Linked DNA regions of Mytilus edulis. Each later gene encodes a partner of the first gene's protein in a complex. Links are inferred from orthologs where the notes say so. Each region holds a gene or a part of one and is shown on either strand. Other genes may lie near its edges.

Evidence for each region.
Region 2: THO complex subunit 2-like (region 1) and SAP domain-containing ribonucleoprotein-like share a complex: the UniProt entries of both Homo sapiens proteins name them as parts of the transcription/export (TREX) complex. The link is inferred for Mytilus edulis from reciprocal best matches to the Homo sapiens genes THOC2 and SARNP.
Region 3: THO complex subunit 2-like (region 1) and THO complex subunit 5 homolog share a complex: the UniProt entries of both Homo sapiens proteins name them as parts of the transcription/export (TREX) complex. The link is inferred for Mytilus edulis from reciprocal best matches to the Homo sapiens genes THOC2 and THOC5.

What each region holds. Positions count from the first base shown.
Region 1 is NC_092351.1:66,493,060-66,504,322, forward strand, and holds the start of THO complex subunit 2-like, read left to right. Parts: upstream 1-5,881; 5' UTR 5,882-5,896; coding exon 5,897-5,961; intron 5,962-8,971; coding exon 8,972-9,122; intron 9,123-9,970; coding exon 9,971-10,022; intron 10,023-10,420; coding exon 10,421-10,491; intron 10,492-10,761; coding exon 10,762-10,883; intron 10,884-11,263. Other genes in the region: tRNA (carboxymethyluridine(34)-5-O)-methyltransferase alkbh8-like, read right to left, coding at 235-354, 1,459-1,702, 5,606-5,731. UniProt on the Homo sapiens protein: Component of the THO subcomplex of the TREX complex which is thought to couple mRNA transcription, processing and nuclear export, and which specifically associates with spliced mRNA and not with unspliced pre-mRNA.
Region 2 is NC_092345.1:85,204,282-85,214,726, forward strand, and holds the start of SAP domain-containing ribonucleoprotein-like, read left to right. Parts: upstream 1-5,120; 5' UTR 5,121-5,217; coding exon 5,218-5,241; intron 5,242-9,804; exon of another isoform or gene 9,805-9,806; coding exon of another isoform or gene 9,807-9,827; intron 9,828-10,141; coding exon 10,142-10,241; intron 10,242-10,445. Other genes in the region: uncharacterized protein, read right to left, coding at 496-589, 4,732-4,898. UniProt on the Homo sapiens protein: Binds both single-stranded and double-stranded DNA with higher affinity for the single-stranded form. Specifically binds to scaffold/matrix attachment region DNA. Also binds single-stranded RNA. Enhances RNA unwinding activity of DDX39A.
Region 3 is NC_092349.1:68,571,788-68,582,537, forward strand, and holds the start of THO complex subunit 5 homolog, read left to right. Parts: upstream 1-6,173; 5' UTR 6,174-6,213; coding exon 6,214-6,327; intron 6,328-8,056; coding exon 8,057-8,203; intron 8,204-10,750. UniProt on the Homo sapiens protein: Component of the THO subcomplex of the TREX complex which is thought to couple mRNA transcription, processing and nuclear export, and which specifically associates with spliced mRNA and not with unspliced pre-mRNA.

The DNA.
Region 1 (11,263 bases):
AGCAAATGGTGGATAAAACCTGATGTCATAGCTAGCTAAACCTCTCACTCGTATGACTGTGACATGATATAAGGCTTACATTTATCAAATTGCCAGTGTAAAATGGATATCAAGTACTTCTTTGCTTCTTTAATGTGATGTTTTAGACAATTACCAGTGAAAACTCAATATCAACTGATTCTGTTCAGGTTCTTTAATGTGATGTTTTAGACAGTGAAGTTATCTTGTACTTACGATTATCATTTTGCCAGTGTAAACTGGATATCAACTGATTCTCTTCTGCTTCAGACACAAAGTTTTCAAGTACAATCAGTCCAGGTGGTAGGTCCTTACAAGGTAAAATATTGGATGGAACTATAACATATAAACCAAATTTCATTCAAGTAAAAAATATCAAGTACAACGTACGATTAACTACTTTTAGTAACCTTTATCAGTAATAAATTTAATGATTGAATTAAATCATACAGTGTAAAAATTCAATTGTGCTTTTGAGAAAACAGACAAATTTTAATGATTTATTTTTTTCTAATTAACAAGACAAATTATTCAGTTATTATACTCTCCTTCCTGAACAAAGACCACAGAAATGAACATAAATCAGTTTAGCTGTAAATAGTTTGATTTCTATTTATTCTCTTTAAATGTGCATCTTTAACAATTCTTAACCACCCAGAAAACTTGAATACCAGTCTTAAATGATTTTCTTTGTAGCAAACATTTAATGAAATAATTATATCTTTTCAACCCAACAGTTTCCCAAAAGACCCTATAACATGTATAATGAGTTTTGTGGAACATATATGTTTTTTCTTCAGATTACTTTTCATTTGTGTACTACTTGACTTTTCCCTTTCACACTCAGTCTATTTTTCGCTGAAATTATTATACATATGAGAATAAGAATATGTGATTACCAATGAGACAACGCTCCAACAGAGACCAAATGACACAGAAATTAACAACTATAGGTCACCATATGAGCAAAACCCATACCCCATTGTCAGCAATAAAAGGTCCAGAAATAGTCCATCAAAAATGATTGCACTATATATTTATAACACATTATTTCCTGCCAAGTTATTTAGCATATATGTTGATGTGCCTCATGGTTGTATGAATCCTTTACAGTTCTGAACTTTTTTTATATTTTAGAACAGTAACTGCAAAATTGCATTGTCTGTTATTGACTGAAGGTTGTTGATCATGTTGATATTATAAACCCATTGTTTGTGTTCTTTAATTGGAAATGTAGTATCATCAACACCAAACAAATATTTTCACTCAAACTAAACTATGGGAGCCTTTAACTTGTACTAAGGCCAGTTTTGAAGGCCTTGGTGTGACTTTGAGATGAAGAACAGCATTCTTCTTTCCCTTAAGTTCAAGAAAGGAATTTATGTCATGTCCATCAATCTGTAATATAACCTTCCTTGGTAAAGAGAAATTAAAGTTTACCTTTGTTTACATATGACAAATAAAGTATAACAGAATGTTTTCTTTTCCCATTAGGTGGCATCTCAAGGCCATTAAACTCTTCACAACATTTTGTTGCGTCTTCAGTTGTTTTAAAGCAGACAATTGAGTATGGTTTCTTTGGCAACATGATGACATCAATGAGAGATCCATGTTTGTCAAGAGCTGTTGAAATTTCCTCTCTACTCACAGAATTGTCAAGTCCACCATTGTGAACACATATAATCTGTAATGAAAATTAACAAACTATATTAGGCCACACCAGTTTAATTTCTTGTTCTACGGACTTTTGGACTCCAAAATTTGGGGCGAGCAAGCAATTTGAAAATTTTAATAAAAAAAATATTTAATTTGCAAATTTTTGAGGCGAAGCTTGAAAAGTTAAGGCGAGTAATTAATTTTTTTTTTGTAAACATAAAATAGTAGGTTTTTACATTTATTAAAACTTGATTTATCACTTGTACTTTGACATTTCTTTAATTCTTTAATTTATGAAGTATTTTTCCCTCTTCACCAAGAAATAACTGAATAATTAAATCTGGTCTATGAGACAATTCTCCATCCAAGTCATAATCAGTTTGGGAACAACCCCTTAATTTTATAAATATCCCTTTTATGAGGGGTCAATATAAGCAGGGACTTTCTATACTAAGTAAGTAAGTATAGAAAGTCCCTGATATAAGTTGTAATATATATTTTTTTGTGAAAAAAACCCCACTTTTTAGTAAAACTAGAGGCTCTAAAGAGCTGGTGTCGCTCACCTTGCTCTATGTGACTATTAAACAAAGGAAGCAGATGGATTCATGACAAAATTGTATTTTGGTGATGGTGATGTGTTTGTACATCTTACTTTACTGAACATCCTTGCTGCTTACAATTATCTCTATCTATAATGAACTTGGCCCAGTAGTTTCAGTGGAAAATGTTAGTAAAAATTTCAAATTTTATAAAAATTGTTGAAAATTGACTATAAAGGACAATAACTCCTTAGGGGGTCAATTGACCATTTCTGTCATGTTGACTTATTTGTAAATCTTACTTTGCTGAACATTATTGCTGTTTACAGTATATCTCTATCTATAATAATATTCAAGATAATAACCAAAATTTGCAAAATTTCCTTAAAATTACTAATTTGGGGGCAGCAACCCAACAACAGGTTGTCTGATTTGTCTGAAAATTTCAGGGCAGATAGATCTTGACCTGATAAACACTTTTACCGCAGTCAGATTTGCACTAAATGCTTTGGTTTTTGAGTTATAAGCCAAAAACTGCATTTTACCCCTATGTTCTATTTTTAGCCATGGCGGCCATCTTGGTTGGTTGGCCGGGTCACGCCACACATTTTTTAAACTAGATATCCCAAAGATGATTGTGGCCAAATTTGGATTAATTTGGCCTAGTAGTTTCAGAGGAGAAGATTTTTGCAAAAGATTACTAAGATTTACGAAAAAATGGTTAAAAAATAACTATAAAGGTCAATAACTCCTAAAGGGGTCAACTGACCATTTTGGTCATGTTGACTTATTTGTAAATCTTACTTTGCTGAACATTATTGCTGTTTACAGTTTATCTCTATCTATAATAATATTCAAGATAATAGCCAAAAACAGCAAAACTTCCCTAAAATTACAAGTTCAGGGGCAGCAACCCAATAACGGGTTGTTGGATTCATCTGAAAATTTGAGGGCAGATAGATCTTGACCTGATAAACAATTTTATCCCATGTCAGATTTGCTCTAAATGCTTTGGTTTTTGAGTTACAAGCCAAAAACTGCATTTTACCCCTATGTTCTATTTTTAGCCATGGCGGCCATCTTGGTTGGTTGGGCGGGTCACCGGACACAACTTTTAAACTAGATACCCTAATAATGATTATGGCAATGTTTGGTTAAATTTGGCCCAGCAGTTTGTAAAAGTTAACGACGCCGGACGACGGACGCCGGACGACGACGGACGCCAAGTGATGGGAAAAGCTCACCTGGCCCTTCGGGCCAGGTGAGCTAAAAAAGGGCTCATATTTTCCCAAAGAACTGTATATTTATCTGATATTATGGGGACGAAGTCATCAATTACGGTAGAAAAATCAATAAAAAATTTTTTTTTTTTAAATCGGGAAAATTTTCCCGACTTTTTCATTCTAATAATGAACTCAAAATCGTTAACTTTTTTTTTTCAGATCTACTTCCTGTTTCGGTCTTGTTGCTTCCTATTCCAGTCTTGTTGGAATGAGACTTTGAATAAAATGTATATTTATCAACATATCAACAAATATATTTTAAATAATTGTTTGATATGTCCCCTATTACAGTAGAAAATTCAATAAAAAAAAAAAAAAAAAAAATCGGGAAAATTTCCCAAATTTCCATTGTACTAATGAACTCAAAATCGTTCAATTTTTTTTTTGACATGTTTTTTAATTTCCGGATCTGTGTAGAACACATAACTCTACTTCCTTCTTCCGGTCTTGTTGTTGTGAGACTTTGATTAGTCTAGTAAAATATAGGAACTCAAGGAACACAATACCAATATTTCATTTTTAATCATTCTTTGTCTTTGGTATGAATAAACGTTAGGCCTACCTGATGCATTGCGTTTCTTTGTTTACATTGAACATGACGTCATAACTTAAATAACGTCACAAGTAAAATCCCTAACAACAGAACCAAAATCGGAAACGTTACCGTATTTCCGTATCTTTTTTTTAACAAATATTTAAAATACAAAAAAATAATTTAAACAAACTTCGTCCCCATTCACAGGTAATGCCTGCCTCATATTATGAAAATAACGTTACCTGATAACAGCGTTTCTTTGTTTATATTGAATATGACGTCGTAACTTAAATAACGTCACAATTAAATCCCTAACAACAGAACCAATATTGGAAACGTTACGGTATTTCCGTTTATCAACATGTTTGAATAAAAAAAAAATAATACAGACTTCGCCCCCAGTCACAGGTAAAGCCTTCCTCATATTAAATGGTCAAAACATGTCCAAGAATTTTTACGGTAGAAAAATTAATTAAAAAAAAATAAAATAAAAAAAATCGGGAAAATTTCCCGAATTTTTCATTCTACTAATGAACTCAAAATCGTTAACTTTTTTTCAGATCTACTTCCTGTTCCGGTTTTCTCCGCTTTTGCGCAGATATCTGTCTTGTTTGCATGAGACTTTGAAAAAATTTATATTTATCAGTCTAGTAAAATATAATCTCAATACAAATTCAATTTTAATAATTGTTTGATATGAAAAAACGTTACCTGATAAAAGCGTTTCTTTTTTTTACATAGAATATGACGTCATAACTTAAAGAACGTCACAGTTAATTCCCTAACAACAGAATCAAAATCGGGAACGTTACATATTATTTTGGTTTCTTTTATCAACGTGATTGAATTAAAAAAATAATACATACAGACTTCGTCCCCATTCACAGGTTATGCCTGCCTCATATTATTCCTGGACGTTTACCATGTTAACATCAGAAGGGTGATTGGAGCAGATTTCAGGTCATTCTTAATTCCTAAATAATTTGTCTACTGTAAGTGTAATATGGGGACGAAGTCCCCAATTACGGTAGAAAAATCAATAATAAAAAAAAATTAAAAAATCGGGAAAATTTCCCGAATTTTTCATTCTACTAATGAACTCAAAATCGTTAACTTTTTTTTTCAGATCTAGTTCCTGTTCCGGTTTTACCCGCATTTGCGCAGAAATCTGTCTTGTTTGCACGAGACTTTGAAAAGAAAATTATATGTATCAGTCTAGTAAAATATAAGATTGGAACTCAATACAATTTCATTTTTAATAATTGTTTGATTTGAAAAAAACGATACCTGATGGAAGCGTTTCTTTTGTTTACATTGAATATGACGTCATAACTTAAGCAACGTCACAGTTCAATCCCTAACCACAGAACCGAAATCGGGAACGTTACGGTATTTCCGTTTCCTTTATTATCATGTTAGAGGTAAAAAAAATAATACATACAGACTTCGTCCCCATTCACAGGTTATGCCTGCCTCATATTAAAAACTGTAAATAGTGAAGAGAACACTTTTTTACACATTTTACAGACAACACCTGCCTAGTACTAAACTAATTGATTCTTAATGTGTTAAACCTTTGTTGGTGTTTCAGTAATTTGTATCCCTTCATTCTTTTCTAACATGTCACGAAACTTCATCTGCTTTTTCTTTAATTTTTTGTCGACTTTTGACATTTTTGTCGTGGCACTGGGCGCTGCCATCTTGAATTTAATCTCTGGTAAAACTGATATTTGAGTTTTTATAATTATTACTATTTTAATTTTAAGATATATTATTTTTATTAATTTTTATTCTCAAGTATCATGTTTTATGTTTTGTACAACAACGAAAGTTATTTAGAGACTAAATTATTTGACGTCAGAAAGATGGCGGCGATGGTGCTAGCCGACGTGAACTCTAAATCATGGGATAAATCAGTAAAACATGACTTGTAAGAATGAAATCCTTGTGACAGTATATGCTTTCTTATAGAAACAAAAATATATAACATTTAAATTTCAAAATAAGCTCGGCATTCCGTGTATTTGCGGAGAATATTTAGAAAGCGAAAGTTGATCTTGTCCATGTGCAAAAGCCAAAACAATCAACACTGGACATCACTGACCAAAGATTCTGATTTAGTGATGATATTGATATAATTTAGCAGTATATGAAACACGATAAACCTCAAAGTCAGACAATAAAAGCACTTAAAATATGTATCACTGCCTATAAAAAGACAAAATAATTGGAAACAAGTAAAAAAAATCTTTCTTAAAAAAATAGTGAAGACCATGGGCATGGCATGAGTTAGTCTGAAATTACTCTGACGTCCAACAGCTATTTTGCCAGACAAACTGGGGCTGTGGGATGTCTGAGCTCGTTTTACATCAAAAAGTGGATATTTGCCCGTCCAAAATAGATGCGCTGCTTTGTCGCTTCTAGTGCCAACTAACGGCCTAGGAATCATATAAATAGGGTATCAATTTGTTCATTTTTCATTTATCTCTTCGTTAATGTAAGTTTCATCTACCTGCCACCCTTTATTTTCTTACATTCAGACAGTTTTCGCAGTGACCCATCGTTTCAGACATTTTTATACGACCCCAAAAAAAATTTGGGATCATATAAAGGTATGATGTCGTCGTCGTCCAAAGACACATTGGTTTCCGGATAATAACTTTAGTTTAAATGAATAGATCTTTATGTAATTTTTTCAGAAGGGTCAATACCACAAAGGGAAGGTTGGGATTGATTTTGGGGATGATAGTCCAAACTGTTAAGGAATTAAGGGCCCAAAAGAGGCCCAAAACAAGTATTCTTCTACTTTCAGGATAATTACTTGTGTACATGTATTTCAATTGCTCTGAAATTATACCACATTGTTTAAAACCACAAGTAAAAGGTCTGGATTCATTTTAGGGGTTATGGGGCCAAAGTTTAGGAATTTTAAAGGGCCAACACAAGAAATTTTTTAGTTGCCAGACAATAACTTGTGTGTAATTGTAAGGTTCTCTCTGAAATTGTACCACAATGTACCATATAACAAAGGGGAGGCTGGGATTAAGTTTTTGGTTAATCACCCAAAATATGTAGGAATTAGGGGCCAAAAAAGGACCAAAAAGAAGCATGTTTCTAGTTTCCAAACAATCATGACAAAACTTGTGTTTAAGTGTATGGATCTCTCTGAAATTGTACTGCAAGGTTCAATACATACAAAGGAAAGCATGGGATTGAGTTTAAGAGTTATTGCTCCAAGGGGGGTTTTAAAACAGGGGGGGGGGGGTTGTTTACCATTTTTTTAAGGAATTCCTTTTTTTCAAAATTTTCAAATTTTGAAAAGTTTTAAGAAGAATATTGTGCAATAGATTTGTTAGATCTTTGACCACATTAATTTTGTGACATAAACCTATATTATGTCAAAAATTTGATCACAATCCAAATTCAGACAGTATCAAGCTTGAATATTGTGACCAAATTTGCCCAAACTGTTCAGTGTTCAACCACACTGGGGTCGTATAAAGCTGCGCCCTGCGGATCACTTGGTTACAATTATTTTCAAATGGTTGTCAAGTTACGTGAGACTTTATGACCTCGAGACGCAAAAATGCAAATATTTATACTTTTTTCAACTCCTTTATAGATCCGTATTTTTACATTTAGAAGCCAACCACAATAACAGTCGGAAGCTCTCGGACATTTAGATTACTTGCATCGTAAATGAATGAGGTGTTAGATTATGGTCATTTGCATAAATCATCACTTTTTTCTCGTGGTCACGTGATAATCTTTGAAAGTGAAAGTCAAAATGCAGAAATTGATGGGTCACTGTGAAAACTGTTTAAATATGGAAAAAATAAAGGGTGGCAGGTAGGTGAAGCTTACATAAATGAAGTGATAAATGAAAAATGAACAAATCGAGACCTGATTTTACAGTCTTCACGCTGAGTGGCAGCCCTGGCAGCCCAGGCTTGTAAAATTGCTCTCGGGCCTGTAAAAATCATATCTACAGGCCAACAGAATCTAACTAAACATTTTCAAAAATTGAGCTCCGGGCCTGTAAATTTAGCAGTTCATCGTGAAGACTGGATTTATATAATTCCAATGTCGTTAGTCGACACCAGAAGCGACGAAGCAGCGCATCTATTTTGGACAGGCAAATATCCTCTTTTTGATATGGGACAAGCTCTGACGTCCCCAGCTTGTCTGGCAAAACAGCCGTTGGACGTCAGAGTAATCTCGGACTAGGCATGAGGGTATTCCAATGTTATTTTACAGCAGACATTTCTACCCACAAGACTTGCTTTTTTGATTGATTACCTAATGTAGTTTGTATAATTACGCAGATATTGTAAAGTGCAAATCAACATTCCCTATCACTTGTTATGCATACATTAATTTCAATAATAAATATTCTTACAGTGCATCCCAAACTCTGTTTAACTGACAAAATGTCAGACAAAAAGTCATTTGGTCAGACAGAATTTAAAAACATTTTTAGTTGAAAATATATAGTCGAACGTGTACAAATGATGAAGAAAAAGTTTCTTTTTCAGTCAGAAAAAATTTTAAAACAGTTTGGCAGAGGGAGAATGATTACCTAAAACATAGATAATGATAGATAATGACATGAACATTTTTTATCGTAAGAAAAATATATACAGGGATTTTCCAACCTTCATTTTGGGTCCAAATTTGGGCCCCAACCCTAATCTCGTTAGCTGGGCTCACTCTCCAAAAATGTTCACATTGTGTCTCACGGCAGATATTTTACAATATCGATGTGGAGAAAACCCGATAATCTATACTTAAGGTGCAGGACATACTGCTTTTAATAATCAGAAATAGTTTAACATTGAAACTTATTACCTTATGATATTATTTTTTAACATGATTAACTTCCAGCTTCCAACTATTAATATATTTTGAAATGCAATAATTTTCTTTCTGTTTCTTTGCAGCTTGAAACAATGTAAATCATTTGTAAATGATAACAAATTATGGACTCCAGGACCCAAGTCACTTAAGCAAGCTTTCTATGACTTGTGTTCAGTTGTATCTAAAGGCCATGTCAAACAGGAACAAGCTGTATCAGTATTAACAGATCTCTGCGTGAGTAATCCACCTTCATATCAGGTTTGAAAATACATAGGCTATAAGAAATAGAAAATAAGAAAAAAATTATATCGTCGCTGTTATGCAAAAACCTCGTATCTCAATTTTTTGTGGAAATCTTTTTATTGATTATTTAGAATTAAATATGTATGTTCCACTGTATGCGAAAATATCTGATCTTCTAACCAATCATTAACCTGAATTCTGACATGTGACGAAAAAGTGTAGTCGGATTGGTGAGAAATTTTGTTGTTCGAAAATATCGTATCTCAAAAGAAAAACACACGGCACGGCAGCTGGCATCATAACAGCTACAGTTTACTGAATCAATTTTAGGTTCTCAAAGCTAATAAAGCTTAGAAATAATATGAAAAGCTTTTAAAATACAATATAGGTGCAGACATTTTTGCTCGTCTTGGTAATTTATTGGTTAGAAGATCAGATATTTTCGCATACAGTGGAACATACACATTTAATTCTAAATAATCGATAAAAAGATTTCAGTTTTTACTGCCTGGTGTAAAATAATCAAAACCTTAGATACGAGGTTTTTGTATAACAGCGACGATATTTCTAAGGTCAATATTAAAGACTCAAACTGTAAACCAGTATCCTGAGGTTTGACCAATTATCCAATGTCTCATTAACAGATAGAAAAGACCTTTTATATCAAGTAAAAACAGTTTGAGAATCAAACCATTAGAAAACCTTTAAAACAAAGGTTGAACCAATAACATTTTTGCGATAGTTTCAACCAATGAAATGTAATTTAGCTATCAGTATTTGCACAGTCATGACAGTGGAATGATACTTATAATAAAACACATTTTCTTTTATGATTTCAGGATTTCAAGAAGGAGGTTCCATTATTACTTGTTGATGTCTTTTCTATATTTGGTAAGATTCTTTTAAAGTAGAAAAGCTACTGTTCAATGTTAATTATTTGGGTACTGGTTACTGAATACACATTACATGTTACTGGTTACTGAATACACATTACATGGTACTGGTTACTGAATACACATTACATGGTACTGGTTACTGAATACACATTACATGTTACTGGTTACTGAATACACATTACATGGTACTGGTTACTGAATACACATTACATGGTACTGATTACTGAATACACATTACATGTTACTGGTTACTGAATACACATTACATGTTACTGGTTACTGAATACACATTACATGTTACTGGTTACTGAATACACATTACATGTTACTGGTTACAGAATACACATTACATGTTACTGGTTACTGAATACACATTACATGTTTTATTTACAGATATAGAGACAACTTGTTCTGAGGATAAACAAGAAAGAGACAGATTTATCTCATTGGTATCAGCTATAGAGGTAAGAGTTATTTATGAATTACAAAGGGATTGATGCTTGTTTAAAAAAGGTATATACAAAGCTCCGCCTCATTATCATTAGATAACATGGGAAAGAGCATTCATTAACTGAAAATTACTGTAAGATCTTGGATGATCATATTACTCTATTAAATGTTTGACAAAGCATATTGATTACAAGGCAACCCAAAACAAAACTATCTTTTTGTTCTTTTTATTAGGTAATCTCAAAATCATGTATTTGGATGTTAATGTGACTTGTTTATTTCAGGGATTAATAGCACCAACAGTGTTTAAAGAACGTCTGGATTTTGACACATTGGAAAATGTAGGCTTGATTTCCTCTAGACAGCAATATCAAGCCAAATATGTCAAAACAAAAACACGATTATTGTAAGTACAGCAGTGTTATATGGAGTAATGTACATTTATAATTAAAAAAATGTGTAAGGGTTCCGCGGAACCCAGTGTCTCACCTACTTTTGCTGTTAATCGCAGGCTAAACAAAAATGAGCAAATAACTAATAAGAATATTCCTCTGTATACTATCTTTTGATTGCAAGAAGCTTCTGACCAAGTTTGGTAAAAATCCACGATAGTTTATGAATCTAGTAAATGTTTTAAAAACTTTATCTGCAGACTGTATGTAATGTAAACTGGAAGAAAAACTAAGTCCATTTATAAGTAAAATACGGAAAACAAGAACAAATTTTTAACAAATTTAATTATAGATACTAGCTTTAAATCATAAACAAGCTTACCAGTATGTCTAA
Region 2 (10,445 bases), on another chromosome or scaffold:
ATCAAGACTCGCCTATCAAAATTGCAAGTGACCGTGTAGCCATAGGAAGAGACATATATTACAATTGTATTATATGTCTCTGCCATAGGCAAACAAAAAATACTTACAAAAAAACAGCGAAAAACTGTAGTCGTACAACCAATCTTTCAAACCTATTACAACCAGCAGGCGCGGATCCAGGGGGGGGGGGGGGGGGGGGGTCCGGGTTTTTTTTTGGACGATCAATGCATTTGAATGGGGACATGTAGTTGGAACCCCCCTTTTTGTCCTGGGTTAGGACCCCCCCCCCCCCCTTTTAAAATGGCTGGATCCGCCCCTGACCAGCTACAAACAACTGTAGGACATGGTCGAGAACTGAAACAAATTGCCTCTGGTAATCGCCACAGCCATGTCACTTGAAATATTCAACACCATTCAATAACCATGTATATGAAAGAAAAAAACAATGTGTATTGATTTTTGTTCTTTTAAAGAAATATGATGTAGGATACTCACTGCCACATTATTACAGTCGTTGAGAGTAAAAGCATTACATGGATTCCAAGCATAAGCATCTGCTTGTCCATTAGGGTCAATTATATCTGCATATCTGTAAAAGAATGCGCAAAAATTCTGTTTAATTCTGTGTTATAAGACATGAGGCTCTAAAGAGCATGTGTAACTCATCTATAGGTGCATGTGCAACTTCAACAATGAATACTCTTCAACTGTGTGGACTAGGATGGAATTCATGAATTCGTGACAAAAATATGTTTTAGTGATCTTGTATTGCTGATTTTTTTTTCTGATCATAATTTCTGTTCATCTTTAGTTTTCGTCACAATTACGCAGAAAAAAAGAAAAGTTGTCTTTTTAGGGCAGTCACTCCTATCAAGAGTCTAATAAAGATTTCAGCAAAATTTGACTCATTTGTCGATCTGATCTTGTTGATCATTTTTGCTATTAAAAGTATCTATCTATCTTTCATAGTTTGAAAGATAAACATCAAAAACACAAAAAGTCGGTAAATATAGTCATTAATGAACAAGACCTCTTTCAGCAAGGAGTCAAAGAAAATTTCATCCAGATCAATTTGGTATTTGAAATGGCTATCTATCTGTAATAGTTTTCAAGATAAGGGGCAAAACACTAGAAATGGGTAATAAATTGTCACTAAAAGGCAGTAAATGAAATCAGGAGTCTACTAAAGAATTCGGCCATTAGACTTTTTTGTAGATCTTATCTGACTGATCATTTTTGCTATTTCAAGCTTCTATCTATCTATTGTAACTTATAAGATATATGACGAAAATGGGGGAAAAAGTGGTAACAATTGCCACTAAAGGTCAGTAACTCTAATAAGGTATCTTAACAAGAAATCTTACAAAATTAAGAATTAGTTCCCACCCTTTTTTGATTGAAAAGGGCAGATATTTCAGACCAAAATTTAAGAGAGAAAACAGAATATGCTTGAACTGTAATCAAATAGAGGATGAAAAACATAACCTTATTTATTGCAAAAAAATTTAAAATTATAGAAAACAACTATTTAATCAAGATCTGCGCCCTGAAAAAGTTATGAAAACCATTATTAGTTTAATTAACCCACAAAATATTGATGATACAAAAAATATATGCCATTACATAAAATTAATTATGCTTTGAATCTTTGTAATTTTATTCATTTAACCTTGATTTGATATTTTGTCAAACATGATATATATGTATTTATGTGATGTAATATCATGTTAATGTGGGGGAAGACATCATTAAGTCTTTCCACTTTTCTGTGGAAAGACTTATTGTTTTTCTTCTGATTATTATTTTTTTTTTCCGCCAAATTTTGTTCTTGCGATAAATGTTTGTTTCGCAATATGTCGCTTAGATATTTCTCATATGGTATCGTATAGTTTACGCGCTTTTAAATTTTACCCTGCTAAGCCGAACCATTTTCTTTGTAAGAGTTATCTCCCTATTCACTGTTTATCATCTGTGTGCATCTCCTTCGTAACAAAAAAAGATAGCGACAAAATTCTTTTTACAAATTGTTCGTTACATCCTCAGTAATTTTTGGCGCATTTGGAGCGAAGCGATTCGATGAAATTTTATAGGAGTTATCTACCTTTACAAAATAAATTTGTCGGTATGTTTATTTAACTCATAAACCGTTAACTGTATAACCCTGGAATGTTTTTATTTGAGTCCAATGGGTCCCAACTTAGAAAATGAGGTCAAGGTCAAAGGTCAAGGTCAAGTTCTAAATTGTGACTTTTGCTTGTTTTTGCATTTTCTCCGACACTTTGAGAGATACACATAAAAGAACAAGTGCAAATGTCAGCTTTATTGTAATGAAGATATGTTACATTTAGTCTTATACAATTAAATGGCATCTTATAGGAGTTGGTGCCCCTGAAATGTCTTGATATGAAGTTATTTGATTATAACTTCAATTAAGTTCATTATAAAGACATTTGACCTCATACAAAAGGTTAAGTGACTAATGACCTTGAAAAATGGCTACCGGAAGTGACCTTTAGAAAACCGGAAGTAGCTATTTTTGCAATTTCTTTCACCTAAAAGTACCCAGAATCCATATATTTTGTCATATAGATACATGAACAGATTACTGAAGACTAAAAATGACTTCCAACAAACCGGAAGTGGCCAATTATCTCCCATTCTACATACAAAAGTATATAGAAACTATATATTTTTGGAATCAGTGTGAAAGAAGCTATCATATGAGACCGGATGTGACATTAATTTCACCGGTAGTAGCATATTATCTCCCTTATATCACTCAAAAAGATAATTAAACCATCATTTATCGCATCAGTATAAAGAAACTACCTTCTTATCCAAATTACTTTAGTTTGGAAAGACTTTCAATTGTTCTCTGAACAATTGGTTTTTAATTATACTTGTATTGATTTTCCTGATTTAATAAAAACTTGTATCATCGGACGATTTCAACTACTAAACTTATGGATCTTGTGTTGCTGATAGTTTTCAGTTTTCTGATTTATGTTTCAATCTACCTATTTTAATTTTTCTGACATTAGACAATTTTTTTTTAAATCGTCATTAAAGGGCTATTACTCCAATCAGGAGTCGTCTGACGATTTTGACATTTTTTGTAGATCTTATCTTGCTGATCATTTGTGCTTCTTACCGTTTCTCTATATCTATTATAATTTCAAGATAAAAGATCATAATAGGCAAAAATGGAGAAAATAAATGATAAAATTCTTCGCTTTTAAAAGGGCAAAATCTATAGACATTAGGTAGATCAGCATTGTAAACTCGCACCTGCAAAGTGGAAAGGGATTAACATAAGTTGCAAAACTTATTTCACAATCCACTATAAATAAATATGTTTAAACTAACCATGTTCAAGAATATTGGACATTTCCAAGCGAGATAACCCTACATTTTTTTTTAATAAAAACTCTGATAGTTTTAAATTGCTCACCGAGATATATAATTTATTATGACAAATGATATCTCGTATGTGTATTAAAATTAAGTCTTTATAATTTTGGTAAATTGACATAACCTCGGTTTTGAATGTATCTGTGTTATTCAATTGTTCATTTTCCCCCCGAAATATATCATGGTCACAGTATATCAAATTCATAAACTGTCATTTTGATTGCATTTCAAAATGCAGTTGACAACAGAAAACATTGAGTTAAAAAAAAATCTTGATAATTAGATTGTTTCATCATTTTTCAATCTTATCTGCTATGGAAAAATTAACTGCGACGAATATCGGAATTTTTAAGAATTTTTTTAAGTCAAAGGTACAATAACCACAATAGTAACATAGGGAAAAAAGAAAAAAAGTATGAAGGCTATTTTCAAATGTCCATTGACAACAGTAAACGCTGACTTTATTTTTTTTTTTTTTTTTTTAAGTATCATATTTGGAAATCCTTCTTAAAGTTCACTTGCTATGGACATTTTTTATCACGTTTTTTGTAAAAAAAAGATATTTTAAAAATCATAACAGGGTATAAGTGTTTTCCGTTTACATCAATGATAACTATAAAATTTATAAGATTTATCTAAGACATAGCACGTGTACTGATTAATTTAAAAATTTAAATGTCCTTCATTCTTGTGTATGGGATGACGGACACCAAATGTGTGAGAAGTGAACTTCGTTTGCTATTTTCTATAAAGTTTGTCATGGTTTAAATCAATCACTAAATTCCAGAATCTATAAGAATAAAACACAGTGCATTTTTGAACAGATAACTAAAAATTCATTACACAAAAGTTTAACAAAAAAAAAACCCCGAACTTGCAAAACATTTCGGGCTTTTCTCGTGTTAATTGTCGAAAAAAATAATAGAACCCTACCTTACATTCAGGAGAAGAGGGTAGTTAAAAGTAAGATATGAGAAAATCGGAAGCTAACTGATAAAAGTGAAAAGTCAACAGAATTAAACTGTGACTTGATTGATGAAGATAACCTGAGTCGTGTGTGTAAGAATGCAGTCACGGATTGATTGGAGAAAAAGAAGACATGACTGAATGAGCCATGTAGATGAAAGGATTTGTGTCTTTTGATTTGATTAGGGACTTTCCGTTTAGAATTTTCCTCAGAGTTCAGTATTTATGTGATTTCACTTTTTTTTCGCAAACAGTGACGGTTCCTTTCCTGACATGAAATCAAATCTTATTGAGTCAGCAAAATAATTGTTAGACTCTGAACCATGTTGCTATAAATAAAAAGAACAAACTTACGCAGGGGTTCCATCCTTTTTCGCCAATGGAGTTAAATCAATTAAATGTCCAGAATCTGTTAGACAAGAACATGCTGATTTTTTAGTGCAACTCTTTGCTAGAACGTTCGAACTACATAGAATCAAAATGATACAAACACATGAACATCCAAAGGTAAATTGTAACATTTTGAATTAAGTCAACTTACACCTAAATCGTCATGTGATTATATTGATAATAGATACGAGAACTGAGTTTCATAGGGCTTTGTTACGTGATAACACTTTAATGTAGATAAAGATCTGAAATGAGAGCATAGGACGTTGGACTAATCAATTACTCGACACGTTTCGTTGACTTGGGTCTATATCAATAGAAAAATTCGTTATTTTGTTACTATTTTTATTTGTATACATAGTAAGCAAGTCCGGATCTTTTTCTGGTTTTTCTCGGTAATGGGCGGAAGTTTAAAATTGTGATTTCCGGTTAAATAAAAAGAAAAACACGATGGAAGACTTGAGCACTTTGAAGGTTTTTAAAATAAGTTTCTCCACAATCATAAACATAATGCGTTAAAAAAAATAATGTCAAAAGTAATCATGATAAAAACTATTCTCATATGGCGAGAATCGGGGGTCAATTTGTCATTTTGGGAGCATGGTTGAATGTTCATGGAATGGCAAAAATGAATTTGTATGACAATACACCTTATCGCTAATCCCGGCTGACCCGGCCGCTTGAACTTTTGACGTCAACAACAATCACTTTTCCATTGTGGCGTCAGATATTTTGTTTTATGACGTCAAAATTTTAGGGGAACCTGTGTGATTTCCAGCAATGGCGGACAAATAGCGATAAGGTGTATGAGAGTAGGTGCCCTGTACTGCCAGGTGTCAAACGGCCATTTTCGGTTATCGTTTACGTTAGCGTCAAATTGGTTGACATTTTATCGTGATTCATCAAAATAACCTTATTGTGATTCGTCAAATAACCTTATTGTGATTCGTCAGAGGTCTCATATTTTTTTATCGAGGGTGAAGCCCTGTGGAGGGTCCAGGGGGGGCTTTGCCCCCTGTAAGCTCCTGGGTTTAAGGAAAAGGAGATACTATGGTCAAATTAATAAAAAATAACTTGTAATTTTGGCATTTTTTTTTCAATGGTGTAGCTTTGATGTGTTACCAGAAAGCCTAAAAAAAATAGTTTTGAAAATGTGATGTACAAGCATAAATTTCAATCCTCTTGGTTCAGTGTCTTTTCCTGCAAGACACCGACTGTGACTGTCACATGTACAAGAAACATATTATTATATTTCATGAATAAATATTATAATTTATCATAGGCTGCACCCATACATCATACCATATTTGCATTTTGACTAAGATGTTTTTATGTGTAACAGTATAAATATTTACATTCTAATTATATTTTTTATGACAATCAATGAAAAACATTCATGGCTTATCTCCACTGACAATAAAACATTTACCCTTGTATTTTGAGGGACGAAAGTTATCATGCTTAACAGTAACACTTTGGTATTTTTGATAAGTAAAGTTCTATGTACCGTAGTTTAAGTTACTTGGTAAGAGAAATAAGCCACTAATTTTTCTCATTGGACCCTGTAATTGAGTACTTAAATACAAATATTATTATATCAATCTGATTTATTTGATTCTATTAAAACATGTTGTTATTTTCATTTTGTTCATCATCATCATCCTCATTATCATCATCATCTATATACATTTTTTTGATTGCAGCCTGCACTTCAAGCCTTACCTCCTCTCTGTCACTTAAACTTGTAAGAGAAACAGGCTCTGTCTGTACTGACATGTCTTGTACTTCAGTAATATTTGGAATAGGATTTTGTTCGTTTTTCATTCTACAATTTTGTTTTACTGCAAGTTTCCTCCTGTTTTAAGTTCCTATCCATGTTTCCACTGCTTTTGGTACAGTGAAACCTGTCCAAACCGAACACCCATGGGACTTTGTGTTTTGTTCGGTTTTCACAGGTGTTCGGATTGTGGAGGTAAACGGAAGTGGACAGCAAAATGATTTAGACACTGACGACGGACACCAAATAATACACCAGACGACGGACACCAAGTAATACAACAGATGACAAGTATTGTCGTGTTGGTTTCAATATAAAATAAAATAAAATATATCAAAAAGTTATTTTATAGATGCAGAAAAAACAATTACAATTTTTAATGAACAATAAAGTGCAAGTTCAAACTGTTAATCGATCTCATTGTACAGAGAAATAATTATCCAATGTTGTCTGACGTGTAGCTAGTTTGCTTTTTACAATCAAGTCCTCGGTCATTGAAATCATTTGTTCCGTTTGATCTAGGTAACGGCTATCCTTAGAAATAGAAAAATTGCGCAACTTTGTCAATAAATCCAAAATGTCAGTATGGTTCATATCGGAACCGGGTTGAACCTCTGTTGGAATGTCTGTGTCAATATCTTCGTCGGATTCGATTAAAGTATCTCCAGTAAATTCCCTGATTAAGTCCGTTTCCCACTCACTATCAAATGCTGATTCGGTGGCCAAATTGTCATCAACATCGTCAGCTTCTGTAATTTGTACACTCGGATCCCTTGACCTTAATTGTTCCACTAAATCGGCTAACGGTATGTCGTCATCCGGGTCTTCAGGCTCATCTACAATTGTTGGGGCCTCTAAGGGGAATCCCGCATCACGAAAACATGATTCAATTGTTGTGGATTTAGTTTCGTTCCACGACTTCTTAATCCAGTGAATGGCTTTTAAAACGTTTATTTCTTTGCAAAGTTCAGTAACTGTATTGCAGTTGTCAATTTGTGGCAGTAAATGTTTGATCATGTGCTTTCTATATCTCGCTTTAAAGGCACGAATAATACCCAAATCAAGTGGCTGTAGTTTAGAAGTCGTATTTGCTGGGAAAAACTTCAATTCAACATTACTAAGCTTTAGATTGTGCGAGTGAGAAGTTGCATTGTCAAGGAAAATTACGATTTTCCTAGATTTTTTCCGCATGTCCCGATTAATGTCCTTTACCCATTCAGTGAAAAATGTGCTATTCATCCAGGACTTTTTGTTAGCCTTCCAAGTCACAGGAAGCGATTTAACATCCAAATTGCGAAAACATCTAGGTTTATTAGCGTTACCAATGACTAAAGGTTTTAGTTTCTCGCCTCTGACACTACAACACAGCATAACAGTAAGCCTTTGTTTTGACATTTTACCCCCTTTACATTCTTTCCCACGCTCCGCTAATGTCTTGTCAGGAAGGGCACGAAAGAAAAGGCCTGTTTCATCAGCATTGAACGTATCCCTTGGGTCATAATCTTTAACAATTTCGGGTAATTTACTTTTAAATTCTGCAACAACGTTTAGATTCACATCAGCACTTTCCCCGCAAACTTTGAAAAATCCAATACCGTATCTTAAACGCCAGCTTTCTAGCCATCCATTTGAGGCTTTAAACTCAGGCAAATTTAGCTCCTTTGCGAACTCCAAAGCTTTTTCCTGTAAGATAGGTCCACTCAAAGGAATGTTCTTTTCACGAGCACCTTTAAACCAACGAAATAGAAGTTCATTCAAATCGAAAAATTTACTTGAACTGGCATGACGTTTCCTCTTACTTCCTATGTTTTCTTCGTATTGAGTACGATATGTATCTTTACGTTTAAGAATGTCACAAACAGTAGCTTTCCCGATCCCATACTTTAAACTTAGATCCTTTTGTGAAATTTTTGGAACTGCCTCCGAATCTTTAATTAAATCCATTTTGTTTTCAATAGAAAGTTCCTTTCTTGCCCTTTTAGGCGATGGAGAAGGTTTATCATTTTGGTCGAATTTACGTTTCTTCTTAGGAGTTTCCATTTTAACACTGCATTCGTGAACATGTACAAGCTAATTAGTTTATAAAAACAACTCACCATTAAATTAAAATTTAAATACCCTCAAGGGATCCTCTGCTAGCCTATGATTGTTAAATCACGCATGCATATTGTTGTAAATACTTACATTGTTTTGATTGCTATCGATCGATTTTGACAGGTAAATTTTTTATACACATTGACTAACGGGGCTTTAAATGTCGTTCGGAATTCGGTGTTAGCAGGATTCGGTTTTATCAGGTTAAATTAACGGTAATTAATAGAGAAATGTTACGGGACTTTAGAAATTGTTCGGTTTGATATGAAATTCGGTTTTATCAGGGTTCGGTTTTACCAGGTTTCACTGTATAACATTGGATTTTTTGAGACTGTCCATATCAGGACCATTTATACAAACATGCATATAGGCTACAATTTTTTCTTTTATTTCAAAAGAAGGGCCATGGGACAGGTATACATATGATTTATGGTAAAAATGAAGAGTCTGCTTTTAATTAGTTGCTCTATCACTTGAAAACAAGAAAATGAAAATCACTTAATGAAAATAATGTGTTGTCTGCTTGTACTAGACAAGACATTGCTCTCATTTTTTCATTTCATTGTAGGACGACGATCATGCACTTTATGAACATTACCAAGGCGGGTGTCTCAATTATTTGAATGCAAATGTCATAGAACAAATTTTTTTTCTCGCTTTGTTGTTGATTGAAAAAAATCTGAAATTCTTTTCATTTCTCTGACTCTGCTTCACTTTTTCTTTATTGACTGGTTACAAAATCTCGTTATTACTATAAATGCATACTTATCCTGGTTTCAGTACAAAATCTTATAGTACTTTGCAGCGAACTCAACAACCAGCATCTATTTTGACGGAAATTCAATTTTATTAACCAATCAGAAATGCCGTAATATATATCTCTAGATTGTCTAGATAGTGATTGACGATCTAAAACTAAAAGTTCCATTTATATTTTTTTGACATCAGAAAAACAACGGATGGGGATTTGGTTACAAACGACCATTTCAATCGACAATCGGTTCTTAATGAAAAGCTGTATCATAAAATAAGTCACAGGTCTTAAAGAAAGTACATGTATACATTTCATCATCATCATGCACGGAAAATTACCTTTAACATCATTTGGCAAGAATTTTTACCTTTATTTGTCATGAAAGTACCCTCATTAAGACCATAGGCAGAGTCTATGACTGAAAAAAATATGCAGGTAACAATTGTTGAAAATGTAAATGTTTTTACTAGGCCAGTCCACCTAATTTAAAGCAGCACCTGTGAAAGATGGTGAATTCTGTAAAAAGCTATTAATTAAAGCATTATTTTTTTGCAAGACTTAAAATTCACTTAAATGAGTTTTATTAGTTAGATGTAAGGGATTATGTCTCTCTTTGAGACTGATTGGTAAAAAATTATTGCTTACTTGACCCAACCTTTTTAATTTGTACATTGCATTAAAATAGGATGCATTTCTCTTATACATTAGTGTGTCTTTATAGTTATTTGATAACTATTTTTCTGTTACAGGTAGCTGATTTGAAAGAAAAATTAAAGGAGAAAGGTTTGACTGTATCTGGGACTAAACCAGAGTTATTGAAGAGATTAAAAGATGCCATGGAATTAGAAGGTATGTGTATGAGAGATGAAGAACATTGAACATTTTCAGGTAAAATGATAAAAACTGCATTTTGACACACAGTTTTTTGGTATATCTCAATATAAGTAAAGCAACTCTTACCAAACAACTTACATTAAAAAAAAAAAAGAATATCAAGCATGTTATCTTCCTGTTCAAGGGCACTACCTTATTTTGACAATTTTTTCCATACTG
Region 3 (10,750 bases), on another chromosome or scaffold:
TTTCTATAAGAACTCATCTATGATCCTTTTAAGTTTAGAGGTTGTACATGTTATTAATACCTAAAGGGAACGGTTTCATCACATGCTATTTTTGTTTACCTATGTAGGTAATTTTCAAGGTGAGAGTATATACCTATTTACATGACAAATAGATAAGTAACTTATGTCATAGTCATGTTTTTGTCAACCCAATACTTAAATACTAACACTTGTAAATAATTACACCCAGACAAATAAATGTTAACAGTAATTTATGGATATGTTATTTTCTATAATATATAAAATATCAATTAGTAATTTTCCCCATAAGTAATACATAATAATGACCTTACAATTTTAATAATTGTCCCTTATCATATTGTGAAAGAAAAAATATAAATTGTTATAAGAAAAAACATTCTGACAAATTACCAAAACTGAAATATTTTATGAGGTTAAATTATTTACTAAAAGTTTAAATCAAGCAAGATCAAATATTTTTAAAAAAATCTTAACTGTGCTGATATTTCATTAATAAACAAACTTGTCCGGACCATTTCTGTCAATTAAAAAGTTTTCGCATTTGATTATTGAGCCCTTTTTCCTCACTGCTCAAAATTTCCTTCTATCAAATAAGTAAAAAGTGAGATCTAATAATATTTGCAGTAAGTGCACCAACAATCTACAGAATATATTCAAAGCAGCTGCATGCATGTTTTAAACAAACATGGGTATGTGACTCTGTCTGTTTGACATGTCAGGTTAAAAAATGTTGTATTCTTGACAGTCTAACCAGTCTTTGATGGCAAGTTTAAAAACTAATATTTTAGTTAATTTTAATTAAAATAAGCTTTCAAAACTTTTTTCTATAAAAAAGTGAAAAATAGAACTCTGCTTTAAATTTCAATAGTTTATCCATTTACAATTCAGGCTGTTGATTTGATCTGCCAGTACTGCATATTTTGAAAAGAAATTGTTTCTGACACTGAGATAATTTGAAATGGTACATGAAATATATGAAGAAATTTAAAATAGAATGTGGAGTTTAATGACTAAATTATGTATGTGCAATTCCGAAATAATTGACCGAAAAATAAAATATTTTAGTTAATTTTTCAGCATAGATCTCTGGAACAACACAGCTGATCCAGATTCCATAGTATGCATATATATATCAAAATCAATAACCACAGGTGTTGACTTACCTTAGAAATTCTTGCAGACAACTCTCACAGAATCGGTGACCACATGTTGTTATCTTGACGGGATTTTTCATTGGCAAGCCACAAATCGAGCAATAACATCTTTTCCTTAATTTTTCGACGAAACCTTCTGAATATCCAGGCATTATTGTAAGCTCCTGCACAGTTGTATCATGTATGACATTCACCAAGAACTTCCTCTGACGTTTTGTTTAGGGGAGTGTCAGTTGTGACCCACTTTTCCTTTTGGAGATCCGTAAGCTTCATACAGACACAAAATAAGGATGTGCAAAAGCATATGTTTCTAAAAATTCAAATATTGGTTGATTTCAAAGTAATATTTAAAATTATCTGTAACCATTGAATTGGATAAACACTTATTGTGTCGAAAATTCAGAGAGGAAACGATTTGCATCGATATCGTCTTCCTTATTATTCACGAGGTGGGCGTGTCAAGCATTGAAAGTGAAAGTAACTCGTGTTTCATTTACTTTCACTTTAATTTTATATATTTTTACGCGGGATTACACATCATGTTGAATATTTTTAAAAAAGACACCAACATTTCGTGGTGTTATCCGATCTTCTTTCCAATCAGAAAGATTGTTAATCACTTTCTTAAGCAAAATAGAAGACAGAAAATGTTTTTAGTATGACTTCAATATACCATCAATATACGGAATATATAAGAAAAAAAATAAATATGTTATATTCACATAAAAACAAAAAAACAACCACTGAACTGTTAACTTTAATCGGCTAAAAAAACAATTACATCCAATTTCAATGTCTTTCACTGAAATCTGAATCTAAATCCAACATCCTATATTGAAATTATTGATAAATATCTATAAACATATACATTTTTACCGTCTGCATTTTTTTGTTCATTTGCAGTTGAAAGGACTTAGGTATACTTTGGGCTCATTCCTTTTATTCCAGTGTTATGATAAAATTTCAGAAAAGTGACATGCGACATCCCAGGCATGATAGACACATGCAGGGTCTTTTCCACATTTTCAAGTATAAACAGTTTACGTTTATATCAATATTTGACACAATCTCATGCGATTTCTTGTGACTTTATGTTTTAAAAATATATATAAATGCATCATTCCCTAATCATGGAGAGGTCTAAAGTCACAGTAAAGATGTGTGTCGTTTTAAAGAGTTTTTATGTTTATAACACAGGTCCCATGGGTTACCGTCCCATGGTTAGATATTTTTTTCTTAATCTCGTCTGTCATATTTGGTTTATAATACATGTATATGTTTTCATAAATGTCATAAGTTTTGACAGCCATGTTTGATTTGATATGTATGGTAACTAAAATATATTTGTTTATTTTACACTTAAGCAGTCGAGATGAACGCTCAATGAGGCAACCCGGCGAAAAGAAGACACAAGATTTCCGAGGACAGCAGCAGATCATGTACTTTTCTATCTCCATCTTTGCTGGGTCCATGAGTGTATGCACAAAATAATTTTTTACATTAAAAATCACTGCATTATTCGATATTGCAATTACATTATATAAAAACCACGGGAATTAATTATCTATGGAGCATAAGCATTCTGATGAAGACTTCAAGAAAACCAATTTCGTAGGTAATAAAGTTAAGTATATGAACGGTTATGATATATATGTATACCCTATACATAATTCCCATATTATCTGACCAAAAACTAATTGACCGTGCCGCTTTGAAACCCGTTTTTTTTAATTCATCATTTGCGGCAACGTTAACTTTAATCAAAATCATATAACATTTGTAGTTCAGCTAGGGATTTTTGCAGAAATGATTTACAGATTAAGGTTTTTGATTTCTTGATTGACAGCAAGAAGAACTTTAAAATTCAGAAACGAAAAATGACGGTTCTATCAAATTTTAAAAATAAGAAGATATGGTATATAATTGATTCAATTGACACACGTTAAATCTCCACCAGACACCAAGTGACATAACCCATTATGCATAGTCAGCTATAAAAGGCCACGAAGTGACAAATGTTAAACAAGTCAAACAAGGAAAAGTAATGGCCTGATTTATGTTTAGAATAAGGAACGAAATACAAATATGATATAGAGCAAAAAACGACAACCACTGAATAACAGATTTCTGACTTGAGAAAAACACATATAGAACCCGCCCTTAACCTGGCAGTGGTGTAACAGTTCAACATATAAACAAACTGTAAAATTAGTTGAAACGACTTAACTCATCAGATTGGTACAAAGCAGAAAAACAAGTAAGAAAAGCACAAACCGAACGTGGGTATTGGTGCAATCCTACAACAACAAAAAAGACACTAGGTACAGATCTAAGAGTAATCACAGAACTTTACTGACAACAAGTTCAAAGCCAATAACAACTAATAAAATAGTCAAAAACATAACCATGCGCATGGCTTTTTGTGCAAAACTTCTTTATACTGGGAAGTTACTGCATATTTTATAAATGAACTAGGAATCTGATGTTCAGTGGTTGTCGTCTGTTAATTTGGTTCATGAGTGGTTCTGGTTGCTCGTTTTTATATAGTTTAGACCGTTGGTTTCCCCGTTTGAATGGGTTTACACTTGCCATTCTTGGGTCCCTTTATAGCTTGCTGTTCGGTGTGAGCCAAGGCTCCGTGTTGAAGGCCGTACTTTGACCTATAATGGTTTACTTTTATAAATTGTTACTTGGATGGAGAGTTGTCTCATTGGCACTCATACCACATCTTCCCATATATATAGATTGTTGTGCAATGCCACAATACATGTATCAGATTGTTGTACCGTGAATTTGCATATGCATATGAATATGTATAACAATACTATTAGTTTTGGCTTTAATCGACTTTACAACTCAATACCAGACGATGTTTATCAAAACAGGATAATGAAGGTATTTAGTTATTTCAGTTACAGCAGAATGCAATGAGTGTGAAGGTAAATGTAGACTCTTTAGTAAGCTTGCTTGCTAGCTGAACCGTAAGTCATTATTAAGTTAGGTACACTAACCTGAGGGCCTCCTTTTAGAGTATAGTCTGGTCCTACAGACCGATAGATTAGTTATCTGTCGGACTTGTCTACTCTTTCAGAAGGATAGTTTACCTAGCCTTATAATGACTTCATGGTTCAGCTAGGTTCAGCTAGGTTCAGCTAGCAAACAAGCTAACCAAAGTTATTATCTTTACTTACACACTCAATGCATTCTGCTGTAATGAAGATGACATTTCTGACATTTTTGTTTGTTTGTATTTTTTTTTCAATGTTGCAATTAAATGAAATACTAAAGCATTGAAAATGAAACATTTTAAAACAGATTTACAAAAAACGAAATCCGAACATTTGTCATTTCGGGGCCTTTCATAGCTGACTATGTGGCATAGGCTTTGCTCATTGTTAAAGGCCGTACGGTGACCTATAGTTGTTAATTTCTCACTGTGTCATATGGTCTCTTGTGAAGAGTACTAGTTGTCTAATTGGCAACTTAATCATAAAAAACCAACAAGGTTACGATTTGATGCGTAAATTGGTCTATTTCAAAAGCCTCAATGCTAAATAAATCAGTTCTTTTCATATAAGTACCGTGATTGTTTTCTCCAAAGTAAGCCCATCATTTGGAAGTTTTTGTCAACATATAATAACTGTGTGCAATTTTCAGACCTAAAAGCTTGGACACCAACTACGATTAAAAATGTTTTGTAACCAAAAGATTTCAATTTTGAAATAAAATTCATTGATATAAAAACGTTTTTGATCGTGGATGTTGGTCAAGGTTAATCAAGGATTTCTAGAGTACTTTACAAATCTTTAGGTTAATTAAGCCAAAAACAATGAAAAGGATTGGAAAATTTACCAAAATTCACGTTTAAAAACCAATATATAATTTTATTTTTTTCTGTAGAGACCATAGCTTCGTAAATTTTAAAGGAATGTCAACTTTTAAAGGAAGGTGCAAAAAAATGTATTTTGTTAATAGTAGTCATTATCACACGTATTTCTATATGAAATTTGTAGGTTCTTTTATTTTATCTGATTGAGAGGAAAAAACCATGCATCTTAATTAGGGCCAATTCCAACTCTTCGTGAACATCCTCCTTTGTTTTTAAGCTAGCTAGATGTAACCCCGCCCCGAGAAAGTTCAGTATTACTTTTAAATCATGCGTGAAAAGGCTGGTACAGAGTCAGACGTGATAAAACTACAGTATATGATTTTTTTTCTACCTGTATGTGTCCATATAAAAGCAATACAAACCAAACATACAAATCAATGATATAAAGATACCCATAAAAGAGGCACCCAGTTAACCAACATATCTATTTTACAAACAATATACTGTTGGCACGTAATGTTGTTTTTTTGGTTTTTTTTAGAGAGACAGATTTATAAAAGTTTTTCCAAACTTGTTTCCGAATCCCATATATGAACTTTATGTAACATTGTAATATTTATCTTGTCATTTTTCATTAATAAATACTTTTTAAACTAAAAGAACCCTTGTCAGTTAACTAAGCTGTGCAGAACAGTACTTTTTTTATGCTGCACCTAAAAGTCTTGTATGACTATCATTACTCTATTATAAGTAAACTATCAATATTTGATTACAGTTACCAAGTGTCAATTGCATGATAAGCACTGGCTTAACTGGGTGCCTCTTTACCAACGAAGAGTTAAAACTTCAATGTCTTCAATGCAAGGATTTGTATTCCTTGATCAATGTAATTCATTGGGTTGTGTAATTGAGTTTTCTTGAGGTAATTAATGTTGTTATGTTCCTTTGTTTTTTGTTTTTTATATTTTCATTATATATGAATTAAAGAAATAATGTGTCTATATGAGACTACTATAACACAGTTTCTTGTGCTGACAACATACATAACTTGATTACGTTGCAAGAAGAATAACTCTTATTAAATTCATCACCTTGATAAACAACTGAGTTTAAACTGAACGCTCCTAGAGTGTAGTCACTGTAACGTTTTATTATAGTACATAGAAATCTAAGTACGAAAGAGAAATATTCACATCGAATTTAAAAAAAATGAGCAGCAAGGATCATCACGAAGTCGAAGTTAAAAGGAAAAGAAGCTTAAAAAAAGAGTCTTCTCCAACCAGAGGAGCAGGGGATGTGAAAAGATCGAAATCATCAACAAATGTAAAAAGGCTGTCATAGATTTGAAAGACAGGAATCATGTTTAAAGTCGATTTCAATACCAGCAAATTATCCGTTTTGTGATTCTTAAAGAATTTCTTCTCTGAAGCCCTTTTACTCATAATATTTTAACCAAGGATTTGTATAGTACTTACTATACAAATCCTTGTTTTAACCAACTATATGTACCTCGCCTAGTACCAGTATCCTTTCCAAGTATCAGCAGCATACAGTTTATTGCTGCTTCAAAATGTTGTTGCTGGAAAAATGGCTAGTTTGCCTTTGTTTAGTCTGTTAGTTGCGGAACCGTAGCTCTTAGGTCCTTATGTTATTTTTTTACTATTTACAGACAATATTTAATTTTCTCGTTTGTACTTTTATGTTGTTTTTTTTATTGATAAACAATGTTTTAATAATTGGCGTGTGTGTGAGTTTGTATTGTGGAAAATCCTTCATAACTCACTGTTTAACTGGTATATAATCATTTGATTGACAGTTATAATGGCTTGTTAATTATTTCATCTGTAAATTTTTATTAATTGATTCACCAATTGAAAAGTGATTATATCTAAATGGTCATCTTAAACAGCTATGATGTTTTTTTGGTGGGAATGCCAAATCAATTATTCATATTTCTAAAAATCAAGACCAAACAACTGATGCAGACCCAACAGGTGCTACAGATGAAACCATACCAGAACCAAATACTTAATCAAACCTCGCAGCAAGTTTTGACATGACATGTACATGTAGACCCAAAAAAGATCTGACAGCCACAAATATAAGAAGAATTGTAATCCAACTTTAAAAACAAGGACATATGAAATACATACACATGACATATATTAAGTAAATTCCAATTTCATATAATATTTATATTTATCGCCTCTAAATTTAAAAAAAAAGGCCAAGTAAGCTATTCTCATCACTTGGCATCCATGGTTGTCCGTTGTCATCGTTAACTTTTTACATTTTGAACTTCTAGAGAACCACTGAATGAAGTGGAACCAAACATGGCATGAACGTTCCTTATGAGGTGCTGACCAAGTGTTGTTTCTTTGTAGCCAATCCATCATCCGAGATGGCCGCCAACGGGGAATTTAGTATACTGTAGATTCATTTATTTTCATGGATTGAGGAAAACTTGCATTTTCGTGGATATTTAAATTTGTGGTTTTGGAAAAGTCTGCATACATTCCTTCAGCAAATTTGTAATTCGTTGAACATTTAAATTCGTGGTTCCCCTGTACCCATGAAATCCACGAAAATTAGTACCCAATGAATGTTAATGAATCCACAGTAACATAGGACCCTATTGGAAATGCATACAAAAGTCTTCTAAAGAACCACTGAATGGAATGAAACATAGCATGCATGTTCCATATGAGGTGCTATCCAAGTGTTGTAACTCCATCATCCAAGATTGCTGCCAGCAGGGGACTTAGTTTAACGTAGGACCCTATGAGAAATACTTACAAATGTCTTCTTTTACAGAACCACACAATGGAATGCAATATTAAACCAAATTTGGCCTCAATCCTTATTTGAGTATCTGTTGTGATTTTTGATATTTTTTTTATATGATTTCAAAAACCCAAGTAGAGTCAGGTGAGCGACACAGGCTCTAAAGATTTGAACATGTAGAAAGATTGCTTGCAATGCAGTAATTTTGTACTTGTACTTCTAGTTTATCTTAAACTTATTGAATATTATATTTCCTTTCTGTTTTAAGGATGTTAAATTGTTTTATGCTGAGGAAGAAGAGGTTGAACACAGAGATCCTAAAAAAGATCTGAGCTTGTTTAAATCAACAACGGATGATGTTAGAAAGTGTTTTAAAGATATCAGAGATTCTAAAGATAAACCAGACAAATCCACCGTAAGTATATATATATATCATTTCTGCGTTAAATTTGTATGCATTTAAACGAAAGACAAGAAAGTAGACAAAGAATCACAAAACCAAAAGACATTTACATCAACAGTTATAAATAAAAAATAAGAAACAACACGAACTGTCAACGACGCACATATTGTCTGTTCTAATATTTGTAGGAAATTATATTATCAGAGGTTCAGATGTTTAGATGTTTGACAAAATGGGTATCGATAAAGCACAAAATTAAGTGTTTAATGAAGTACAAATTGTCTATAAATTTGTACATAGAAATTTGGCAACCCACAATATCAAGAATTTATAAAATTAAAAAAAAAATGATGATTCCACAAAAATAAGTACATGTATCATCAAATATTAAAGGGAAATTCCGCGATTTTTTACTTATCATCTAATTATGTTCATCTTAACATGAAAAACACATTTGCAAAGTTTTGAATTTATATTCCTTCTAAAAACGGAGAAAATCAAGTATTTGTAACTTTTTTGGTTGAATTCTCGAGTGGGTCGTGACGTATTAGCCCGATTTATTGAATTCTGGGAAAAAATAAAATCTGTTTAACTCTTATAGCTTATCGACAATATACGTAATTAAAAGCGCACAGCTGACGAATGGTCGAAGTTATTAACCACAATATAAGAATGAACGAAAATGAATATGCATATACCGTTTTGTATTGATTGAATTAAACTCTTATAAAATTATCTCTAGTAAATGTTTTTGAATAAATTTAATTAATTATTGTTGAGATTTTTTTCATAAAATATTTATTGAACATTTTTACTGATATTGAACTGAAAATATTTCAGTTCTATTTGCCGTTATTGTTTTGATAATCATTTCAATGCAACTAATGTGTGAGCAGAGTGTGTATATTATTTTGTAAAGGTCACTGTATATTTCTCGGCTTGAGGTCAATTCGTTTACCTTGTAGCTATTTAGCCGCAGGTGTGAGTTCAAGCGTACACAGGTATAAATGTTGTTATTTGGAAAGGATAAACAGAAAGGATTAGAAAGAGTATGCTGTCACGATGTTAATACACTAAGATTTAATACACGATGAGAATAAAGATACAATAATTAAATTGTGTAAATTAATTGAAAATAAAATTCAGATTCGTAATTCCGAAAGTGTATAAAAATAAAAGGAAAATTTTTTATTACTTTCTTAGCGGCAATTGGCGTAAAGATTCAAATATGAAGCAAAAAATAGTAGTTTTAATCTTTTATAAAAACTAAATGCAATATTACCCAATTTGATATACCATTGTACATCTGTTTGATATCATTGACCTTACCGGAATTTCTTAACTTGTATTCAAATCTGGCTGTGTTTAAATGCTAATAAAACTATTGCAATTTTAAAGTTTTTAATTGACAAAAAAATACAACATACAACATGCATGATTTTTTTTTTAGTTTCTTTTTAACATTTTATTCTTACATAATTAAATTCATTTGACAATCATTTACACGAACTTTTTGTGAAAAGAATATCAATTATCTAAGCTAAGGCATTATTTCTTTTGAGGATTTTTGAGAATTTTTTTTAAAATTCTATGATAATATTTGTGCAATGTTGAACATGATAGCCGTCATTAATCCAAATAAGTAATACAGTAGTTGTAATAAAAGTTATATTTTAGTCATGCATAACTGATATTGACGAATTTATAATAGTTCGTCCATACATCGTTGTTCTTGAAACAATCATTATTAGTATGAAACAATCATTATTAGTATACATGTAAGTTTCCTGACGTATAAGAGCCATTGAGGATGAGCTCCAGAGAAATCAGACTAGTGGCGTTTCGTTCGTTTGTTTGTTGGGAAAGGAGAGGAAATGCAACCGCTTGTACAGATAAACGACAGAATTACCATACAAGCATTTATAGTCAACACAATCAGAAAGAGTTCCCATCGTTAGACGGGGAATATGAAGGCTTCCAAGAATGAACAAGTGACATGTCTAACTCTGAACAGTTAGAAAACAGACTATCGACATCGACCGTTTGTTCTTAATATTTGAAACTGTATGCATATATATATGTATACGTTTATGATATATATAGTGATGAGTTCTTGCGTCTGACAAAAACTAAATTCCTTCATGGTTATATCTTGCCATACGTTTATATTGGTTTGTAAGGTGATTACTCACAATCGTTATTTGAAAATCCTGTTTGTGAGATGTAGATTCATTTCAATACAGAAATTTCGTCTATATATTTCACAAGTGTATAACACGGAGAAGCTCTGAAGGTCCATTACTCCCATTTTGTTTGGGTGTGAACCATCGATGTTTACAGCAATATCACAGAATAAGATGATGATGGTAGAAAGAACTATGGGCGTCATGTGGCAAATATTACATGCATATCGGACAATGAGTTGTCAATCTGTATGAAAAGATTTCCAATACAACCATATTATTGAGAAGGAATGTTTACATGCTATACTCTCGTACTAGTATTACAGGGTTCTTGTCGCGTTCACCTTAGACACACATCTTTTTAACGATGTTTAAA